Xenopus tropicalis: one gene and its partners. The protein of the gene in region 3 interacts with the protein of the main gene of each other region in a pairwise test. Links are inferred from orthologs where the notes say so. Each region holds a gene or a part of one and is shown on either strand. Other genes may lie near its edges. The genes, in order: klhl42, tbc1d22b, trim23, gpkow, phf1 and gpank1.

Evidence for each region.
Region 1: the proteins of trim23 (region 3) and klhl42 interact in binary tests that used the Homo sapiens proteins (3 or more experiments, as listed by UniProt). The two-hybrid records come from large-scale screens. The link is inferred for Xenopus tropicalis from reciprocal best matches to the Homo sapiens genes TRIM23 and KLHL42.
Region 2: the proteins of trim23 (region 3) and tbc1d22b interact in binary tests that used the Homo sapiens proteins (3 or more experiments, as listed by UniProt). The link is inferred for Xenopus tropicalis from reciprocal best matches to the Homo sapiens genes TRIM23 and TBC1D22B.
Region 4: the proteins of trim23 (region 3) and gpkow interact in binary tests that used the Homo sapiens proteins (3 or more experiments, as listed by UniProt). The two-hybrid records come from large-scale screens. The link is inferred for Xenopus tropicalis from reciprocal best matches to the Homo sapiens genes TRIM23 and GPKOW.
Region 5: the proteins of trim23 (region 3) and phf1 interact in binary tests that used the Homo sapiens proteins (3 or more experiments, as listed by UniProt). The two-hybrid records come from large-scale screens. The link is inferred for Xenopus tropicalis from reciprocal best matches to the Homo sapiens genes TRIM23 and PHF1.
Region 6: the proteins of trim23 (region 3) and gpank1 interact in binary tests that used the Homo sapiens proteins (3 or more experiments, as listed by UniProt). The link is inferred for Xenopus tropicalis from reciprocal best matches to the Homo sapiens genes TRIM23 and GPANK1.

What each region holds. Positions count from the first base shown.
Region 1 is NC_030679.2:10,512,296-10,516,412, reverse strand, and holds the start of klhl42 (kelch-like protein 42), read right to left. Parts: upstream 2,803-4,117; 5' UTR 2,317-2,802; exon of another isoform or gene 2,291-2,316; intron 2,272-2,290; 5' UTR 2,021-2,271; exon of another isoform or gene 1,841-2,020; 5' UTR 1,501-1,840; coding exon 671-1,500; intron 1-670. UniProt on the Homo sapiens protein: Substrate-specific adapter of a BCR (BTB-CUL3-RBX1) E3 ubiquitin-protein ligase complex required for mitotic progression and cytokinesis. The BCR(KLHL42) E3 ubiquitin ligase complex mediates the ubiquitination and subsequent degradation of KATNA1.
Region 2 is NC_030678.2:65,104,596-65,107,529, forward strand, and holds the end of tbc1d22b (TBC1 domain family member 22B), read right to left. Parts: intron 2,713-2,934; coding exon 2,584-2,712; 3' UTR 502-2,583; downstream 1-501. UniProt on the Homo sapiens protein: May act as a GTPase-activating protein for Rab family protein(s).
Region 3 is NC_030677.2:187,787,002-187,791,119, reverse strand, and holds the start of trim23 (E3 ubiquitin-protein ligase TRIM23), read right to left. Parts: upstream 2,802-4,118; 5' UTR 2,336-2,801; coding exon 2,246-2,335; intron 818-2,245; coding exon 655-817; intron 55-654; coding exon 1-54. Other genes in the region: trappc13 (trafficking protein particle complex subunit 13), read left to right, coding at 2,890-2,935.
Region 4 is NC_030684.2:23,998,480-24,001,983, reverse strand, and holds part of gpkow (G-patch domain and KOW motifs-containing protein), read right to left. Parts: intron 3,457-3,504; coding exon 3,299-3,456; intron 3,216-3,298; coding exon 3,085-3,215; intron 2,553-3,084; coding exon 2,446-2,552; intron 1,647-2,445; coding exon 1,445-1,646; intron 1,183-1,444; coding exon 1,050-1,182; coding exon of another isoform or gene 1,006-1,049; exon of another isoform or gene 482-1,005; intron 1-481. UniProt on the Homo sapiens protein: RNA-binding protein involved in pre-mRNA splicing. As a component of the minor spliceosome, involved in the splicing of U12-type introns in pre-mRNAs.
Region 5 is NC_030684.2:71,991,532-71,995,035, reverse strand, and holds part of phf1 (PHD finger protein 1), read left to right. Parts: intron 1-995; 5' UTR 996-1,012; coding exon 1,013-1,186; intron 1,187-3,356; coding exon 3,357-3,438; intron 3,439-3,504. UniProt on the Homo sapiens protein: Polycomb group (PcG) that specifically binds histone H3 trimethylated at 'Lys-36' (H3K36me3) and recruits the PRC2 complex. Involved in DNA damage response and is recruited at double-strand breaks (DSBs).
Region 6 is NC_030684.2:74,607,844-74,612,057, forward strand, and holds the start of gpank1 (G patch domain and ankyrin repeat-containing protein 1), read right to left. Parts: upstream 2,804-4,214; 5' UTR 2,730-2,803; exon of another isoform or gene 2,720-2,729; intron 122-2,719; 5' UTR 116-121; coding exon 1-115.

The DNA of each region.
Region 1 (4,117 bases), on a different chromosome or scaffold from region 3:
CATGAACAGCCCCCTAAGTTTGCTCATAGCCTGTACAGAGAGATACCATAAAACTATGGCACATAGGGATTCCCCTGTACTAAGCACAATTCAGCACCTTGCTATTTCCCTTGCATGTCAGTTTGACAGGATGATGGGAGTTGTAGTTCAATAACAAGGGGAATTAATATGGTTCCTATAGATGATAAAATAGAAGGTGTGCTTAGATTCTCAATACAGGACTCAGGATATAAATTTATTTTATTATATGAGTTCATCCAAGTTTAGAACTTGGAGTGGAACCTTGCACCTGGTATGTAAAGGGGAAGTAAACCACAAAATATTTTATTTTGTGCACAGAAATCGAAGGCCTGCGGTAGCTTCACAGGTGAAAAACACCAGCAGTCAAAATGCCCTGGTCCACTAGTCACCACAGCTAATGCTACTCAAACACAAGCAGTATATTTCCCCCTAGCAATCAGGAAGCGGTGTGAATGACAGATTTGAAGATAACCTGTAAAATAAGACTTTAAACTAGTTAGGGGTTGCTAGGGTCACTGACCAAGCAACCAGGCAATTGTCTGAATAAAAGACTGGCATCCTGGGCTCCTCAGTGGCCATAGCTTCATAGGACAGAACCAGAACAGAAAAGCAAAGTGACTAAGGAAAACAATATTCCCCACCTGATTACCTCTTTTGGTTCATGGAGGGCTCCTGGGTCCAGCACCCGTTGCTCGGGTTGTACGAGTGCACGGCACTGATCTCTTGCCCATTGTCCCTCCTACCTCCAGCCACAAACAGGTAGTTATGGAGTGTGGTAGCCCCATAGCCTTGCACCCTCAGCATACTCTGTGGGACCTCTCCGGTCATGACTTGCCAACCGCCTCCCCCTTCCAGGTACCTTAGTAGCACCCAGTTGTCAGGGCCCTGTTGGGACAGGACCATAAGGGCTGGGGTTCCTCTCAGCCTCTCTTCCAGGACACGAGTTCTGAGGGACCTTGGGCTCTGCTGGAAGTCTTCCCTCCTCAACATAGAAAGGTAATGAGCAGCCATGAAATGTAGAGCTGCCGAAGCCAAATCCCACTGGCCATGCAACTGCGCCACCTCCAGGATATCCAGACACGTGTCCAGGGACATGGAGGACTGCAGGAGAGACAGAAGACCTTGGACCTGTAGGTAGGATGCGGCTTCCACCACAGCCTGTAAAGGGCCCGATGACTCCAGGCCGCATGTTGATTCATCCTCCAGTGAGCAACGTTCTGGATCTTCCAAGGAAACAACCTGGAAACCAAACTCGGAACCCCCCTGAGCTTCTAGAAGGGAACCCCCAGTGATGTGGCGGAGAACCCCTTCCAGGCCCTCAGGGGTCAGCCCATGCAGAGTCACTGGTTCCCCATGACTTTCCCTCATGCCCGACCGGAACAGTGACTGGAAGAAACCACTCTGAGCCACCAGCTGTTCCCTAGGTACAGAGTAACACCTAGAACCCAACAGTATCTGAACTGTTTCTACAGAGGACATCACTTATACATGCATGATGCCTTCAAGAACCCAGAAATGGAACCAGAAAAGGGATCTACCAACATAAAAACATCACACTATTTGTGCACCGCATAGCTACAAGAACCTTGGGCACCTAATCAGGGCATCAAACTCTCATATCTGCAAGAACCTTGGGCACCTAATCAGGGCATCAAACACCCATACCTACAAGAACCTTGGGCACCTAATCAGGGCATCAAACCCTCATATCTACAAGAACCTTGGGCACCTAATCAGGGCATCAAGCACCCATATCTACAAGATCCTTGGGCACCTAATCAGGGCATCAAACTCTCATATCTACAAGAACCTTGGGCACCTAATCAGGGCATCAAGCACCCATATCTACAAGATCCTTGGGCACCTAATCAGGGCATCAAACCCTTGTTTCTACAAGAACCTTGGGCACCTAATCAGGGCATCAAACACCCATACCTACAAGATCCTTGGGCACCTAATCAGGGCATCAAACACCCATACCTACAAGAACCTTGGGCACCTAATCAGGGCATCAAACCCTTGTTTCTACAAGAACCTTGGGCACCTAATCAGGGCATCAAACTCTCATATCTACAAGAACCTTGGGCACCTAATCAGGGCATCAAACACCCATACCTACAAGAACCTTGGGCACCTAATCAGGGCATCAAACACCCATACCTACAAGAACCTTGGGCACCCAATCAGGGCATCAAACACCCATACCTACAAGAACCTTGGGCACCCAATCAGGGCATCAAACACCCATACCTACAAGAACTTTGGGCACCTAATCAGGGCATCAAACACCCATACCTACAAGAACCTTGGGCACCAAGCACCCACTCTGGGCATAAGAATATCAGGCAGAGAACCAATAAAGGAAATGCCCAATGTTCCTTACACCCCCCACCCATGACAATTAAGGAATCTCTTGGAAAAATACTCCAAAAATAACAGCCCAGAAGCAACACCCTCCAATCAGGAACAGTTGCCCAACTAGAGAATGGACCTGGATTCCCCACCCATCAGCCGGTCCCGTTTCAGCTCAGCAAACTGAGTAACAAGAAAGTCCAGAAAGAGAGAGAATCCCATCTGTGCAGCTTGTCCATTCAGCTCATTGTGCCAGCAGCTCTAGCCCCATTGGCTGCCCCCACTTGCCCCCCTTGCCCAGTCTTTCCGTTTACCCAACATGGAGAGAACGCCCCAATACAAACTGACCATCCAGGCATTTCACTTCCTGAATGTGCAGAAGCTTGTAAAAAACCCAGTCCCCTCCACCTGCGTGCCAGGGACCACGCCCACTTATACGCAAACACGTACTTGACACGCCTCCTGCCCCTCTTATAACCACAAGCCGCGCAAAGACACGCCCCCATTGCCAGACGCACCTCCTCATGGAAGCGTCTGCTTCATAGACAGGCCCCTCCCCTTCCCATATTGTGTTTTCCCCCCCATGCCCCATAAACACTGGCCTTATATGTGCAGCTGGGATTCTCTATGGGAGGGCTATATCCCTGCCAGACGCCATCCCCATGGGAACAGGCAACCCTAGCAGATATTACATAGTAGTTGGAGTTCAGCCTTTATCGCCCAACTGAGAGACTTTAGCTGTAAAAGCCGTAAAGAGATACTGACACCAGAAATTAAACCCTTTATTGCAACTGTCATGACACTGTTTGTACATTTATTTATTTGCCCATAGAAGTGTTTGCCCAATGCATTTATATTACCTATCTGGTCTCCATGTCCCTCTATGAGGCGGCGGCGGCCATATTTGTGCAGCCATTATTGGTTAGCATTAGGAGCTATAACTGACCGGCTGGGAGGGGACACTCAGGTTTAGGAACGTCAAATAGAAATGACTTACATTAACAGCCCTCCCTACCTGGGAGGATGTTGAGGAGAATGCTGGGAAGGAAGCTGGAGGATGCTGGGGGGGAACTGGAGGATGCTGGGGGGAGCTGGAGGATGCTGGGGGGGAACTGGAGGATGCTGGGGGGAGCTGGAGGATGCTGGGAGGGAACTGGAGGATGCTGGGGGGAGCTGGAGGATGCTGGGGGGGAGCTGGAGGATGCTGGGGGGAGCTGCAGGATGCTGGGGGGGGAACTGGAGGATGCTGGGGGGAGCTGCAGGATGCTGGGGAGTGGAGCTGGAGGATGCTGGGGGGGAACTGGAGAATGCTGGGGGGGAGCTGGAGGATGCTGGGGGGGAGCTGGAGGATGCTGGGGGGGAGCTGGAGGATGCTGGGGGGGGAGCTGCAGGATGCTGGGGAGTGGAGCTGGAGGATGCTGGGGGGAGCTGAAGGATGCTGGGGGGGAGCTGGAGGATGCTGGGGGGAGCTGCAGGATGCTGGGGAGTGGAGCTGGAGGATGCTGGGGGGAGCTGGAGGATGCTGGGGGGAGCTGGAGGATGCTGAGGGGAGCTGCAGGATGCTGGGGAGTGGAGCTGGAGGATGCTGGGGGGGAGCTGGAGGATGCTGGGGGGAGCTGCAGGATGCTGGGGAGTGGAGCTGGAGGATGCTGGGTGGGATGCAGAGGGGAACTGGAGGATGCTGGGGGGAGCTGGAGGATGCTGGGGTGGGGAGCTGAAGGATGCTGGGGTGGGGAGCTGCAGG
Region 2 (2,934 bases), on a different chromosome or scaffold from region 3:
TCCCTCGTTTTCTGTTTGTGTGAACTCTTCCTTTTTCTGTATTAAAAAACCATTTAAGTGTTTATCATAGTGACCTGAACCACTGGCTGAACTAGATGGCACCACGCACACACAAAAAATCTTCGGAAGGGCCCAGTGCGCACAGCAACTCCTACCTGTTCCCTTTCCTCTCTTGGGGGTGCACAACTTTTGAGATAGGGGCACCTAGAGAAGGGGAATTTCTATACGGCAGACCTCACAGTCCAGGGCCCCCTGTCCCCTTTTGCAGCCAAGGGGTTTCTCTATAGTAATGCCAGTGCCTTGAACCATGCAATCCTTTAACTTACTTTTGAAGTTACTAAAAGGTATTCACACAGATTCTCTATCATAAAAAAAAAAAAAAAAAACACACACAAGATTTTGAAAATTAAAGTGTTGGATTAAGAAAAAAACAAAATAATTTGCCATATAATGGATTTACAACAGAACAAAATACAAAATCTTTTACAGGACTCATTTAAAAAAATATATCATGGATTCATTCTTTAATGTCAAAATCAATAGCAGGTTCATTACAAAAAGAAATTGTATTTAAATAATCACGGCTTTTCCACCTTTAATTTATTTCATGCAATAAAGATACTTAAGTCTAATTTTCCCAGTAAGAGCCATTACACACTGGCATTTGAAGGTATGTCAAATGAAATGCATACTAAGCGATGCAAGAGAAAATATTATACACTTTCTCCCCACTATGTTTTAGGAAGTGTAGTAAAAATGGGTGCTTTATGCATATTTCGTGGGACTTCCCTAAATTTAGCAGCTCGTATAACAAATGTTGCAGGCTTATCACTGAGGAAAAGCCTAACATAAAAAGTATAGCACACATCTTTTCTGTTGCTAAACAATTCATAGCAAAAGCTTGGAAATCAGGTACCCAAGTTATACAAATGGTGAAAGCTAAATTAGACAATCTTCAAATATATCAAAAGACCTACAAATTAACAAAATTTAAAACATCTAGATGAATGTTAAACCCTATTTTAGTACCGTCTTCAACATGGTTACCTTTCTTTTCTGTTAACCTTTTGCTATCCACTACCCCCCAAGTCAATACTGTATGAAATGTTTGATATAGATAAAAGTTAGCACTCCTCAAGTTTTGCTTTGTTGTTTTTTTTCATTGTTCGGGATGATTATACTGTACATTGCTGCTTTCACGATATCTTTGCATGCTGGAATAAACACCAGCAATAGCAGTAACTTAACAAGGTAATTTAGAAATATTTAATGCAAGTGTTTTTTCTTGGAGTTCATCATGCATGCTTCTATTTTAATGTATTTTAAACTCGCTACAAATGCATAAAATTGCAGAATGTTGTTTTAAAAACACAGATGAAGACACCTGTACTAAAAAAACATATATATGAAGGCCTGTGGGTACAACCAGGCAGAAAAAAACCCATAGTGTAAGGGCTCTAAGGCATAACCTTAAAATGCCTTAAATTGTATAGTAAATGGAAATATAGGCTAATCAATAAAATGCCGAATCAAACCACCATGTGGCACGCACTTAATCAGACACCAGGGCAGCGGTGAAGGTTAAACAGCTTTATTCATAAATACATCCTAGGATGTATTTATGAATAAAGCTGTATAGCCTTCACCGCTGCCCTGGTGTGCTGCGGGTCTGGGGCACTGCACCCAGACCACCGATAAGGAGCAGTGAGTGACCTGACTCTTTTGAAGATTTTTTTTAAAGGTTTTCTGAGTTGTGTGGCTAATTGAACGGAGTAAACCCGAACCCTCAAATTAATTATATATATATATATATATATATATATATATATAGGTTGGAAGCCTCCTTTTGGTATAGTAGTGTGTTCATTAATCAATTAAATGCCACATTTAAATTATTAATAAAGCAATGAAGTGTTTATATTTGGAGTACTTTTCTGTCACTTTTTCTTTTTACAGATAACCTTATAACAGGAACATTTTTGATATTTCACGTGGTATAAGCAGGCAAGTAGCCTGGATGGAAAGGGTAGAAAAAGAAACATTTCAACAAATGATAAGCTGAAATTCTTTTATTAAAGATGAACAAAGCCTTTGATTATTTAAAAATATGAACTAGACTGCAACCTGTTGTTGAACAGGTAAGCACATGCTTAAGAGGATAAACTGAACCACATTTTACACACAATAAATCCCAATATTGTACACCTTTGTCCATATACATATAAAGACCGATTTATATACACATACTTACTCTAGGACTTATACCGTGCCAAGGATAATGCAAAGTGATGTCTTTTTAAATACATGGCAAAATCTGCATGTAGAACAGTACCATCTGCGCACTGCACAGCAGATATGCGAATTTGCCGAACAATGATGAGTTTATGCAGTGTTACATACTATTAACCCTGAATTTTTTACAGATGTGGTTTATAGTGTGTTTATGCAGTATGATGGTGACTGGATTGCTAAGTACGTATGTGCTGATTAGCATCTAGGAGTGACTGGCACGTGGATCTATCAAAATTTAAAGAAAAAGAGTGCTTTTTTTTTTTGGAGTATAAGGGCACAGTGATTTGGCATCTACCGACGGTAATGGTTGGGAGCATCAGCAAACATGTATTTTAATCTGTATGCTTCTGCAAGGAGGAGTCCAATTTCTTCATTTCCCCAGTGGATAGTTGGCAAATTCTGCAGCAACATAAGCAGACCCTGAAAATAAATAATAATATTGGATAAACTGTTTGCAAAGCAATCAAATTAACACACAAAATAAAAAAATGTTGGAAATGTCAGAGTGATATGCCGAACTTTGAACAGAGAAGTCGGCTTTTCACTCTACTGCGCATGCGTTTGTCCGGGACAATTGGCTGCAGTGCGAGTAGGAAGGGGAAGCACTCTCGACAGGTACCCCAGGCTGGTGCTGTTTTCTCC
Region 3 (4,118 bases):
CCAGGAGTTCCAGTAATGCAAAATTTTTCTTTAAGCCCCACACACCAGAGTCTCCTGTATAAGAACAAGACATTTACACATTATTTAAACAAATAATAATCTTAATTTCTTACTGTTCAGCTTCTCTGCAATTATAAGACAATGCCTAGTACTTGATGGCAATGAAGGTAGCTTATTGTATCCAAACTGGCATCAAAACAATATATATATTTTTTAAATATGTCAATGCTTATTTAACAGTCTTAAGGCATGATGATCCAAATTAAAGAAAAAAACCTAATCCCATACCAAAGGAATAATTCATTAAATAAAACAAATGGTTTTTAACATTTTGGAACAGAATAAAGGAGAGATTCTCAAAAGATGGGCTGTTCCCAGAGTTTCTAAAGCACACCCAGACTGGCAATCTGTGGATTCTGGCAAATGCCAGAGGGGCAGCTGCCTATTATAAATCCCAGTCTGGGCCTGTTTGAGAGCAGTGGGTCACCCAGTATCTATTTGTTGCAAGAGAGAGCAGCTAGTGCAGAGCAACTTGAAGCAAATGGGAAGCAATCTGCAGCAGGTAACAGCTATCAAAATCCTTGTGTTATAGAGACCTTAAATACATTACATAATACTATTGCTTAGTAAAGTAAAAAATGAATTCTTTAATACCTAGTTCAGTAGCTTGTCTGTCAAATGGACAGCGTATGGCTCTGCCATGAAGAGGCAGGCGTGTTAGACAGTCATGGCACACAGTATGGCCGCAAAGCAGCAAACGTGGAACTTTATCTCCTTGCAGTGAAAAGACATCTTCACAGACACCACATTCCAGAACCTAGTGTTGATTAAACAATTGTGGAAAGGTTACATTGTGGAGAGACATTTAAATATATCAGTCTGAAAGTTACGAGGATGCAACCATGTTGCTGGATGTATCATTTGCTTGCTAAAGATCAGGCTGGGGACCACTGCTCCTCCTGAACAGCCCAGGAAAGCTGCCTGTGGAAGTGGAAAGGCTGGGTGGTGCTAATAAGGTTTAAGATAAATTAAAGCAGCATTTTCTCTTAAAATGATACAGTGCTATGTATCCTTGCAGCAATATAAAAATAAAGTTATAAATACATACAATAGGCTTATTGCCTTTGCAGATGTGGGTATGGAATATCAATAGCTGCCATTGGGTATTATCCATATGCTTCCTACATCTAGCTGACTTTGCATGCTGGGAGTTGTAGTTCATTGGGAGTTAAAACGCATAGGAAAGTTGAAAGACAACCCTGTATAGGACATTTACACTTATCCATACAGCCAGGGCTGGAGTTAAAGGGGGGTGGGTAGCTTGCAATGCAGAAAGCCTGGAGTCTGATGAAGGGGATTAATATATGTATATATAATATATTAGGGATGTTTAACCTGCAGCCCTCCAGTTGTTGTTCTGCTAGAACTCTCAATAGCCCTACTAGCCAATGTATGGAGGTGCAGTACAACAAGAACAAAGAGCTCTAAGGCTGCCCATAGCTAATGTCAGTGGCATAACTAGAGGTGTCTGGGCCCCACAGCAAATTCATATTACCCCCCCCCCCCCCCCCTAAAGTTTAAGAGTTATTGTACATAAGTATATACTGGAATTGCTTATCACTCAGTGTCTGGGCCCCACAGCAAATTCATATTACCCCCCCCTAAAGTTTAAGAGTTATTGTACATAAGTATATACTGGAATTGCTTATCACTCAGTGTCTGGGCCCCGCAGCAAATTCATATTACCCCCCCCCCCCCTAAAGTTTAAGAGTTATTGTACATAAGTATATACTGGAATTGCTTATCACTCAGTGTCTGGGCCCCGCAGCAAATTCATATTACCCCCCCCCCCCCTAAAGTTTAAGAGTTATTGTACATAAGTATATACTGGAATTGCTTATCACTCAGTGTCTGGGCCCCGCAGCAAATTCATATTACCCCCCCCCCCCCTAAAGTTTAAGAGTTATTGTACATAAGTATATACTGGAATTGCTTATCACTCAGTGTCTGGGCCCCGCAGCTTCCTCTCTAGCACAATATAATAGGCCCTTTCTGCTTTGTTTCCCCCTAGGAGTATCCCATCTCCGAAACTGCCCTTTCCCCTAAAGCCTCCCTGCACTCTGCAACGAAATGATGTAGGAAGGAGAATGCATATAGCCAGACGCAGGGGGGCCCTCCTGCAGGGATAAACCAGGGCCCAAACTACACGGCATACACTTCTCCCGTAACCCTGCTCTAGTATCACCTTTACTGCTCCCCCCGGACCGGTCCGGCTCTGCCGTCCGCTGCCCTCCATTCTTCCAGGGCCGCCGTGTCTGTTTACAGCGACAGCCATGTTGACAGCTGGACCGTACCACTTCGGGTAGAGGGTTGAGAAATCATGTGAATCCTGGTGTTGAAAATGGCATTATTTAAGAATAAACCCTGTTTTAAAAAACAATGAATATATCTACTTAGGTTCATAACAGTAGCAATCTGAGAAGTCTAATCCGTATGACACCACCGACTGAGCAAAAGGCTTTTAAAACTATTACTAGCGAAACCGCAAAGTGGTTTCACCCAATAGCTATAACCCAACTCAGTCTCTTGCCTCAGAAAAATGGGAGCTAACGCTATAAGGCGCCATCTTAAACATTGGCAAACGTGCCCTCATATTTTTCCCCTGAAACAAAAACAAAATGATAGATAGCAGAGACGGCGATTCTGTGGTTCTGCAGCTTTTGTCGAAATAAAAGTTTTGCAGGGCTCTGTTGCAATGTGAATAATAGAACTGAGAAGCGGAAAAAGCCTCTGCGCATGCGCATTTTGTTTTACTAGAACTGGCCCTTTCGTCTTCCCGTACAGGCAGTTCCGGGTGTGTGTAGGGGTGGTGACGGCGGTTCTGGCACCATGGACGTCAATCAGCCCAAGCAGGAACATTTGTTGGCCCTGAAAGGTATCAGTGTGAGGCTGTGGTGTGTGTTCTCTGCGCCCTGACTGGGGAGTCAGCCCGGCCTGCCCCAAGCTGTAGCACAGGAGCCAGAGCTTTCCTGCACTGGCCATTCCCATAGGTGTCCTGGCCCACTCACTTCTGTTCCAGAGTACATAGACTATGCACCTAAGCAAGAGGCTGCCCTGCCTTGCCCTGTCATTTCTAGTTACTTCCATCCCTTGCCATTATGGTAGCCACATTGAGTGATCTTCTTAACCATTGATGCTACAGTAACCCCATGGCAGCGCAGTTAGTGCAAATGATTATTCTGCAAAGCAGCAGTTACTCAGATTGTCTGCCATAGCTGAGTGGCCCCCTCCTGCTTATGCTTGCGTTTGGAGCAGGTTGGGGGCCCATAGGACACAAAGAAAGTGCATGGAATTAACCAATTGGGCATGATCTCATTGGTGGGCTCCACAACGGTTACAATACATTTTTGTATGATTATCCTCAAGCAGGGGAACTAAAATACAATAATGCTGGAAATACAGAAAAACTCTGTGCTGACTAATAGACATGATAAATGATAGACATACCAACCTGTACCAACAGTGATGGGAAAGATAAACTGTAATCTCAACTAAACCAGGTTTTTATTAAGAATATATCATTAAGGAACATTTGTTCTAATTAAAAGTAAGTTAATAGCAAGGATGAGCTCATCCAGCTGACAAATATAAGGGTTCTACTATTTTTTGAGAGCAGCGTCATTCAAAAGTTACAGTAGATGTAATAAATAGCCCTGGTATCAGGTAGTAATTATTTAGGTCTTTTGGGGCTTTAAAACATTACACGGGGGCCAATTTATGCATATACGTGTAAGGGGTGCAACAAACAGCATTGTAAAGTGAACCTTGTGCAAGCAGAGCTGTGCAGCAAAACAAATTAATGGCACACACAATGCCAAATTAACTAACATTAATGGAACAGGCAGGTCAGTACAATGAAATATAATACAAAATACAGTTACATTCAGGATTAAGTGGTAGAGACGAGAGGAAAGAGATTTTCCCCATAGAATCTAGATAGGAGTTCTCTAATAATCAGACATTGATAGATGTAAAGCAAAACATTTTTTCCCATAAGTGCTTTAAGAAGATTTTTCTGATCAATTTAGTGGCTTGGAATATAAGCAATACAGTATGAA
Region 4 (3,504 bases), on a different chromosome or scaffold from region 3:
GGCCCCTCTGTCACTGAGCTAAAGCTCCTGTATCCTCCCTAAACATTCAGTAATAAGGTGAAAGTTGGGGGGGCTGCAGCTTTGAAATCAGTGGGTACTATAATGCAGCCACGTATGCAAGCTAGGTGATACAGCCATCAGCCATAGCCAGCCCGGCTGATCATGAGTCTGCACAAACACTGATAAGCCACACTTTTTTTTTTCTTTGCCAATTAAAACTACACAACTCTTGTGAAAATTATATACAGTACTGTAAATATGTATTTTAATAACTAAACAATCAGCTCCTTTTTGCAGGAAAACAATCTTTGAATTGTTGGGCATGCTTTATCGCAGCATAAAATAATGATCTTATTAGCAGGAGGGTGAGACTAACAAATACAAGGAAACCATACAAAGACGAGCAAAGGCATGAAAAATGCAAAAAAAAACTGCATTTTTGTAAAATTCTCAATAAAGTGATGAAATTTTAGGTCTTAGGTCACAAGGGGGAATGTATATCTTTATTTATAATGGAATGGAATGGCACTTATTGGTGGTACTTAGTCACTTCCCACAGTAATTAATATGTGAAGAGTTAATTTTGATTGCTCTCTATAATAGTGGCATTTACTAATACATACTCTTTGTTTTCAATACAATAAAAGCAGTTTAAAAAAACAAAAACACTTAAGAGTAACCAATATGACTGCTCTGATTCAATTCACTTAGTTTCCACTATGTGACACTAGCATGCATATTGCCATAGGAGGTAGTGTACTTCAGGAGGTGCAAACAAAATGACTGCCTCCAACATAACATACAAGACCACATGCAATATCAATGTTTACATCTTGATTGAAGATTATAACACTAAATAATCAATGCATGGGATGCCTAGAAATAATCTGCATTCATATAGCGGTATAAAGGTAAAGGCACGTGCATAGTAACATCCCTCAATTTAACTTTCAAATAATATAACTATAACATCTGAATAATGTACACACACCCAATGACAGATTATTACTTGGAAATTGTACAGCATACTTTGTTGCAGTTACACTCACTCAGATCCTTTGCAAACTTTGTATATTCTGCGCTGCTGACCAATCGCAAGGAAAACAGAGACACTGTAACCACCTTTCCACCAATGGCAAGCTTGATCATTGCCCTGGAATTGTCTGGGTCAACGCCCTCTACCTGAGAACAATGATAAAGACATCAGTAACTAAACAGGAAACATACTAAACTAGGAAAACTGATGACGTGGCTGGGTTTACCACTGCTACATGTTATACCCTGGATTAGGATGTGTAGGTTGGGCCAAACCCCATGGGACCAGCGATAAGCTGAGACAGGTTCATGAGGAGTGTTTCTTGGTTGGGTTAAAAATTTTTCAACCTGCACATCACTACCCTGGATTGTAAGGACAGCATATATGACAAAATAAATTCAGACTTACCTTCCCATACAGGTCTTTGTGAGCTCCACTCTGTATCTGTACTGAACTCCCTTTGCCAAGACCTCTTGACTCTTCTTCCAGTTTCTCCCCAGGTTTTAATGGTTTCCGCGGTTTCTGTGGCTCCAGATCCTTTAGAGCAGACCGATCTGCACCGAGTCCCAGCCCTTTAGGGCGCAATTTCTGCTCTAATGGCTTTACATCCCTGGGGGCACACAATTGGCAATACTATTTTATGTCTTTATTATTAAGCATTTATGTAACGTCCACATTCTCAAATGTAAAGATATGGGAAAGCATTCACTTATATGGGTGGACTACTTCTAATGCCTTGAATATATCACAATTAGAATACCAAACACATATGAACATTTATTGGGTGCAAAAAGCAAAAAAATATAAATACAAATGCATACCAAATCAAATGGCAGAGGTGTCTTAGGGAGATTTTTTTTTTTAAATGTGAGATTAGAGCTCACCACAGGGAAAATATAATCCTAATTTCAGACTGTACATACATGCTAATTATCTGCTTTTATCCAAGGAAAAGCTAGCATGATCCTCTTCATTTACCATAAAACACGATTGTATTTTTCCTTAAACATGTTTCTTAGATGGAAGTGCAGGAAGGAACCGACTTATAGATGAGTGTACTGTTTATCCACCATGCATTTTCCCCTTGATAACTGTGCGTCATTCCTTTTCCATCCACTCCTTCCCTTGCCTGTTCTTGCATCGTAGCTTCCCTCATCTCACTCTAAGCACCCTATGTACATTCTTATTCTGCCAGTGAGCCTTCCGTGAATTCTGGCGTTATTAATCAGAGGGCAGTTAGCTATACTGTCACAACTGAAAGGTTCCTTAGCAAGTCTCGGCTCAGAGATATACTAGACAGCAGTGAGTGAGCTGATGATCCTATAACTAAACACAAACTATATAAACCTGTAAATACAAGAAGTACACTGGTCTCACAAACTGTTCTGTCACTGGTCTATAGTACTTACTGCTTAAATGTGCGTCCAATGCCCTCTCCTTCCTTCCATCCCATTCCTCTCAGCATCGCCATCCCATAATACTCCACAGGCACTGCATCATAGTCTGCAGCCTCCGCCTGAAATACAAATGCAGACACAAGACAGGAGAAGAGAACTATATTACATCTGGTTTACATGTGAGATTTCAAGTGTAATATATATTAAAAGCCTTGGAACATTTTACATATGTAACATTATGGAAGGAATTAATGGGGCTTTGTTCCATCCTGTCTAAAAGGACCCTATAGCATCCTTAGGTGATGGAGTCAATAAAAAGACTTATCCTGCATACTAATATGAGCACTATCAAATAAGAAATTTTTAAAAGTTACATAATAACAAACTGGAAGAGTAAAAGACTGGAATAGCAGAAGGTGTGAGCAGAAAGATAAGTAATAAAAAGTAACAACAACAACAATAATAATAATAATAATAATAAAACTGTAGCCTCACAGAGCTGCCGGGTGGTGACCCCCTAACAACCAGGTAGCAAGCTATATTGCAAGCTGTAAATTGGCAGAAAAACACACTAAAATTTACCTATATGCTAAACTACCCCTTTAAATGGTGAATATAGCCAGTGTTATCACGAATGATAATAATACTCACAGAATCTGGGCGTAAGCTAACATCCACCTTCTCTCCATCTTCGTAACCATCAGGAATTCTGTTCTGCATAAGCAGTGGGATGCTCAAAGTTTGATCTGTCTCTGAATTATCCTCTAGGGTGCGCCGGGATTCTAAAAAGAAACAGAAAAGTGTAAGATAAAATGGAGAAGAAATGAGTTACAGGGTTGCAATAGAAACAAAACTAGCCATTTACCCTCTATCAACTCTTTTACAGCCTGTGACAGCACGGCCTCTTCTTCTGTTCCTGGAACTGCATCTTCCTCATTGTCCTTTTTCTTGTTCGGCTTGGACCACCTATTTTTGTGTATGAGGGGAATAACTAGCTCCTTGGCTTCTGGAGTAGGGTTTGCGCTGTTTAGGGCAAAAATTTGATATAAATTAGATGAGAACACATGGAGG
Region 5 (3,504 bases), on a different chromosome or scaffold from region 3:
TCACACTACCACCACCATATTTTACTGTTGGTATGATGTTCTTTTTCTGAAATGCTGTGTTACTTTTACGCCAGATGTAACGGGACACGCACCTTCCAAAAAGTTCAACTTTTGTCTCGTCAGTCCACAAGGTATTTTCCCAAAAATCTTGGCAATCATTGAGATGTTTTTTAGCAAAATTGAGACGAGCCTTAATGTTCTTTTTGCTTAAAAGTGGTTTGCGCCGTTTTTGCCCAGTCTCTTTCTTATGGTGGAGTCGTGAACACTGCCCTTAATTGAGGCAAGTGAGGCCTGCAGTTCTTTAGATGTTGTCCTGGGGTCTTTTGTGGCCTCTCGGATGAGTTGTCTCTGCGCTCTTGGGGTAATTTTGGTCGGCCGGCCACTCCTGGGAAGGTTCACCACTGTTCCATGTTTTTGCCATTTGTGGATAATGGCTCTCACTGTGGTTCGCTGGAGTCCCAAAGCTTTAGAAATGGCTTTATAACCTTTACCAGACTGATAGATCTCAATTACTTTTGTTCTCATTTGTTCCTGAATTTCTTTGGATCTTGGCATGATGTGTAGCTTTTGAGGTGCTTTTGGTCTACTTCTCTGTGTCAGGTAGCTCCTATTTAAGTGATTTCTTGATTGAAACAGATGTGGCAGTAATCAGGCCTGGGGGTGACTACACAAATTGATATTGAAATTGAAAATTGAAATTGATAAACCACAGTTAAGTTATTTTTTAACAAGGGGGGCAATCACTTTTTCACACAGGGCCATGTAGATTTGGAGTTTTTTTTCTCCCTTAATAACGTAAACCTTCATTTAAAAACTGCATTTTGTGTTCAATTATGTTATCTTTGACTAATAGTTAACGGTTTTTGATGAGCAGAAACATTTAAGTGTGACAAAAATGCAAAAGAATAAGAAATCAGGAAGGGGGCAAATAGTTTTTCACACCACTGTATATTACTCATGCTCTATTCATTCATGCTTGTCATTTACTCTTACAGAATTTTTTTAAAATGTGATGGAGGGACGGGAGCCCTCAACCCGACCCAGTCGTACCACACCTGCCAGTCCCAGAGTGACCCCTGCTCTAGTGAAACGGCCACGCTTCCAGACACTGGCTCGTTTTTGGGAAGGTCAGGATGTCTTGGCACGGTGGACAGATGGACTGCTTTATTTGGGGATAATTAAAAAGGTGCACTTCTTTCATTATTAATGTTTTCAAACATAGGTTATTATGCAACTCCATTATAAAATAATCATAAATGGGCAATCCACTCCAAAAGAAAAGTACCAATGTTTTCTAAAGGAAGAAAATATGATTATAAGCAACCTCAAATTTTGCAATGATTTAAAAAAAACAAAAAGTATGTACAGGTATTTGATCCCTTATCAGGAAACCCATTATCCAGAAAGCTCCGAATTACTGAAAACCCATCTTCCACAGACTCCATTTTAATCAAATTATTCAGAATTTTAAAACTGATTTCCTTTTTCTCAGTAATAATAAAACAGTACCTTGTAATTGATCCCAACTAAGATATAATTAATCCTTATTGGATGCAAAACAATCTTATTGGGTTTAATTAATGGTTTATTGATTTTTTTAGTAGACTTAAGGTAAGGAGATCCAAATTACGGAAAGACCCCTTATCCGGAATACCCTTGGTCCCGAGAATTCTGGATAACAGGTTCTATACCTGTATATATATTTATTAGTAAATGTGATTACTGAAACAGTATCTTTCTTTCCCTTCGTTTTGTCACCAGTTATCATGTTTAGATGCATTAGACCAAAATGCGTTAGAACACTAGTTGTGATGTCACAGCAGTAATGTAGATTATAACATTCTGCTGCTAATATTCCATGCCCCATCGAAGAAAATATTGTTATTGCTTTTATACAAGACAAATGGGTTAAAGCAACTTATTCTTCAAGTACTCAAAGGATATAAGCACAGGAGTCAGTTTTACTTTAAAATACAATAGTTACTGTGTTAATGACAAGGGTCATGCATTGCAGCATTAAAGTTACACTATAGAACAGCATTTGCAAGAACTCTGTGGCATTCAGATGCACAACTTAAAGCAATAAGAGATTTGAGCATGACTGTATGAAGTGCAGACTAATTGGAATTGACTATACAGACAGTTCGTATTTTAAACCTCTTTATTTCACTAATAATAACATTCATAGAGGACAAATCCATTTTTGGGAACATTAGGACAACATTTGTGAAAATCAACCATTGAAATGCATTATAAATTGGTGGGACCACAAAAAGCAATGGAAAATACAGGAAAACTTAAAACCAGTACATAACAAAGTTATAGAAAACCCCAGGTACCAAGCAGTCTGCATAACAGGTCCCATAGTTGTACAATATCTTATCTCCCCTCGTATCCTTACGTAAACAATAAAACATTGTAATTATGAATCCCAGGGGTATTCTGTAAAGCTTAATCTTCAATATGTTTTGGATTACTAACACATGTAGCATGTAAACACCCAAAAATTAAACTCAGGGGCATAACTTGGTCACACTGGTCCACCATTCAGAAAAATCTTTTGAGAGGGCCTAGCACTACCAGTCCCTCCTCCCCCACCCACCCCTGACCCTGCCGCTTTATTTAAGGTAGGAGAGGGGCCAGGGAGGGGGGACTAAGGTACAGCAGATCTCACGTTCTGGGCCCCCCCCACGAGCTGGGTCTGCTGTATATATTGTAACACCATGGATTAAACAATTGCATACAGATTTATCTACTGCAGAACCAATGTACTGTCAGTATTTTATGTGTCAGAGACCCTAAAATAAGTTAAAACCATATATTTTTGAAAATTAGCAAAAGTAAGGGATGGGTACCCTATGTAGGGATTGGGTTTCTAATTTGTTAGGAATCCCCACTTTCAGGTGAAAATTAGATTTGGGCAAAGTAGACATGACTAGAAAGGGAGGAGGTATCCAATGGCCCCTTTTTGTTCCAGTGGGCCACTCCACCCTGAGGGGAGGCACTTTGAGGAAGGATTCTAAATGAAATTTCTTTTATTCTTTAAACTACCTTGCTCCACTCTTTAGATAGGCTAAGAGAGGAGGACTAGGCTAGGCTATGAAAGAGTGAGCAGATGGTCTTGATGGCTCCTGCCTATTTATAGTCAGCTAGAATGAGTAATTATACTATGAGTTTACATAATCTGTTTAGCCAGACCTTTCTTATGGCATGTGCTCTTATATCCAGACATATCACATCATTCCTTTTAGCAATGGCCTTTTACTAAACTGAAAACTTGTAAAGTAGAGCAACTGCAGAGCAACTTTAGCAGCAAAGGGGGCAGGCCTTCTCAACTTTTCATCCCTCTTCTGCAGGTAGACAGTGCTCAGGAGACTTGTCTTGTGCGCTTTGAAGATAATTCACAGTTTTCAGTACTTTGGAAGGACATTTTTCCTCGTAAGTATGAAACTACATAGAATTCAGAGTAAGTTTTTAAATGTAATTTAACCTGTTACCCTTATT
Region 6 (4,214 bases), on a different chromosome or scaffold from region 3:
CTGTTATATTTTTATTGGATGCATTGAGATCTTTTTTATTACTGCACTCTCCATTCTCCCAAAAATCCGATTTGTCCCGGGCTTTTGTAAAAGTAATAAGCTGAAGATGATTCATTTTTTTCTGCCAAAGAAGAATATATAAATATGTTAAAATATATTAAATGTAACAATTTTTATGTGATTTCTGAAGGCCTAATTAAATTAATATAATTAAATTAGATCACTTAAAAGACAGCCCATGATCATTTTGTAATACTTTACTATATGCTTCTAGCATACCTTATGTTAAAACGCTGCATAACATTTGCAGCACAACAGAATTCATTAATATCGGAGTTTATCAACCTGCAACCTTGAATGCTCAAACATGCAACACAATGAAAACTTAAGGGCTGCATATAGGGCATTTGGGTTTGAGGGACAAGGCACACACAAGTAAGAATCAGATTAAAACTACCCATTCTTAGTTCGATTTTCACAATAAAAAGTAACTTTGCTGACTTGCATAAGGTATTGCTATTAAAAGAGAAAATTTAAGATGTGTCTTTAAAGGAGAAGGAAAGGTAAAAACTAAGTAAGCTTTATCAGAAAGGTCTATGTAAATACAGCCATAAGCACTCACAGAAACATCTGCACTGAGTTCTCTGTCAAAAGAAACAGGATTTGTTGTCTCTTTGTTTTCCTGTGCTAGAGACACGCAGCTCTCTCCTGCTCCCCCCACCCACAAGAATGTGTGATCTGAGACAATCAGCAGGAAGCTTCCTCATAGTCTTACACACTGAGCATGTACGCTGGTCTTGGTGCAGGAGCGAGGCATTATGGGAATTTTGTTTACAGAGCTCAGAATTTTTTTTTTTCCCTATGAAGCTTCTGATCATCTGAACAGGAGAAATATGGGAAGACTTAAGGGCACTATTGAGAGAACTGAAGGTATGCCTGCAGCTTTTTTTAGCCTTTCCTTCTCCTTTAAATAAACTGTGACTTAAGGTGGCCATACACGTTACAATAACAATCTTTCCTGCTACCAGTGGTTGCTGGAAAGATCGTTAGTCCACTCCACTAACATTAAGAGCTGAATTGTCAGATATGCAGGTAGAAACAATAGAATTATAATATACAGTTTGGTCAGTTCCCTATGGGACCAAACTGTAAATTATATCCATATAAATGGTGCTTAGTGATGTCATCAGTTATAATCAGAGCTAAGTGATGTAATTTCTGGCACATGACTCACTAAAACTTGTATATTATAATACAGTACCCCCTCTTGTAAAATATGAGGATATTAGAAGTCACCTCAGCGTTCCATGACCTGTATAAAAGCACTCGGCTTTGACCTTGTGCTTTTATATTGTCATGGAACTCTTTGGTGACATATAATACCCCTATATTTTACAATAGGGGGTACTTTATTCACTATCTATCCCTATCTGACAATTCAGAATTAACCTACCTTCAAAGGCATCCAATCAGAATTTCCTATCCTTGCCCACTGACAAGAAGACCAATATCCAAGGCTTTTGCCAAAATCGTTTACCTCATCAAACCCAACTTACATGCACTGAATATCGTACTAAACCTTGTTTCTGACTGACAAAAGAAATAACTGGACCAGCACTCTCTTATGTGTAAATAAACCTGTGTGAATGTATTTCTTTACAACCCTATGCCCAACATTTCTGTCCTCATTTGGATCTTTCTTAATTATCCTTGAGAACAAGAGTTATTGGATGTACAGCATGAAAGTTATTTCCGATCATAACCACTCCGACTGGGTGTTTCTGCACAGGCAGAGAAACAGCCTAGCGTGATATTAGCTTTAGGGCTGAATGTGTGGAACAACAGAAAGTTGGTTATACTATGTATGGTGCCTCATATATTATAAGTGACCTACAGCACTTATATTTGCCTATTTGTGTCTGTAAGTTACCCTACCATATAGATTGTAAGCTCTACGGGGCAGGGACCTCCTTCCTCTTGTGTCCTCGACTCTTAACTTATTGCAGCTGTATTTATCTGTATTTATTGTTTTACTTTGTATTTATCTATTATTATCTTATTAACACCCTGTTTGTATTAATGTATTCTACTGAACAGCGCTGCGTACATAAGTAGCGCTTTATAAATAAAGATATACATACATCATTATAAGCCTGTGTAAGAGCAGCTTGTTAGACGTCATACTGCGGACAAGCCCTCATGTCGTAGCACACCATTTTAATAAAGGTGGCCATATGGAGCAGATTTTAGCTGATTCAGCTTCTTCAGTCTGAGCCGCAACTTATGTACCAGTCTATGGGGCCCGCCAACAGGCTGACCTGATTTTTGGTCAGATATTGATTGGACAAGTTTAAAAATCTCATCTGGTTAATGACTGCATTGGCTCGTTGCTGCTGACCACATTGGCTTGCTGTGATCAACCTCAAGGTGGACAATATCAAAGATCCACTCATTTAGCAACCTTACTAAACGAGTGGATCTTTCAATGTACGGCCAGCTTTACCTACTAGATAGGACTGTGTCCTCCCTCTGAAGGTTACGTTAGAAATGAAATTAAACTGCAGTTTTCTTAACAAAACTAATATGGTTTTATTCAGTGCAATTGATATATTCATCTAAAATACTCTTCAGCTAGAGAGAAAGTAATTCTTATTGCCCATGGCCTGTTGTAAAAATACAGAAATCTTCCTGGGTATAAGAATGCTGAAGGGAAACATACACTCACATACCGACGTAGCCCACTTTTCTTAACACAGGACGCACTTCTAAATGGCTGCTAAATGTCCCACAACGCCATTCAAATATCCAGCTCCTCGGTTCCGGCAAACCTGCTCTCCCAGAGATACCTCACACTCTCGCGAGATGAGACTGTGACGCCACAACTGGAGCGTATGGGAGCGTCAGTGCGTAAGCGTCACTTGTGCTAAACAACGTTCAGTGGTTCTGTGTTACAGTAGAGCACGTTGCTGGTACGCTGCCTCAGCAGCTAGTAACGCGCGGTTATGTATGCCAGGGCAGCCATATATCTGCTCACAGTTTGTTTTAGCTGCACGCCCCGCCTGCTTTTGTCAAGAAACACAAAAATAAAAACATTTTTTAATATTGTTGTAATTACCTGCAGTGTCTTCTGCAAGCAGAGCCTTCGTTATCAATGTTTGATCGGAAATAGTTCTATCTCTTGTGCCAGGGAGCAAAGTAATAACACGTTATTGGTGGTCTACAGCAGCCGAATGCAGACAGATTTCACATGCACGTTTAAATGTCTTGTCTTTTGTGTTTAGGTGCCCATGCACCCAGCTAGAAGGGCTGAAACTGCGCAGTAAGCAGTCCGACATCGTCAGAGCCCTCCCAATACATGTTAGAGCAGGGAAAAAGCACTAAGCACTATTTATTTTTGTTCTTTAAATGGCAGATATATTACTCTGCCCCAGACAACTGTACAGCTAGCTGGAGGAAAGGTTGTGCATGCAGGACCAGAGAAAATGTCAGCACCGATTATGTTTTCACTAAATTTATGAAAAGAGAATTGTGAAAAATGTTAAAGTGCACTTTAAAGCATTTAAAGCAATGTAAGCTCCAAATGTCCTTGGTTGCCTGTAATTACACTACTGGCATTGAGCTACTGTGGCACCTACCATGGCCAGGATCTTTATGCCACAATATATGTGTTGTTTTAGGGAAATGGGTTCCAAGAAAGCCTTCGCTGTACCTGTAAATATTTGTCCACGTAAAAGGCTGAATCCAATTCATAAAAGTAGGAGAGACAGGTATTTGCAGACATTTAAACTGCAACTTATTCACATTATATGTTGTTTTTTTCTAGGATGAAGTTAGTAAATACAAGCTGTGTCACCTTGCTATGCAGGGAGTAGGTTTATACAGTATGTACATTGTGTAAATGGTTCCCAGAGGAATTGCACTGTTCATGCATTAAACCTACACAGGCGTCACACTGGTGGTGGCAATCCAAGATGGTGAATGCAAAGTTGTAGGGAAAGGAAAAGTGCTGGTACTGTATGAAAGATGTTGCATGAAAACTATAGGGGCTTGGGGCTATATACACGAACAAAAGAAATGTCAGCTCATCTGGAATTTTTTACGCCAATTCGTGCAGTAATGGCCCAGTCACCTGATGTCAGTTATTTGCACTGGAATCTTTTTCTTACCCCACTATTAAACAGCATGGAAGTTGCACCTGAAGTCTTTAGAAGCAG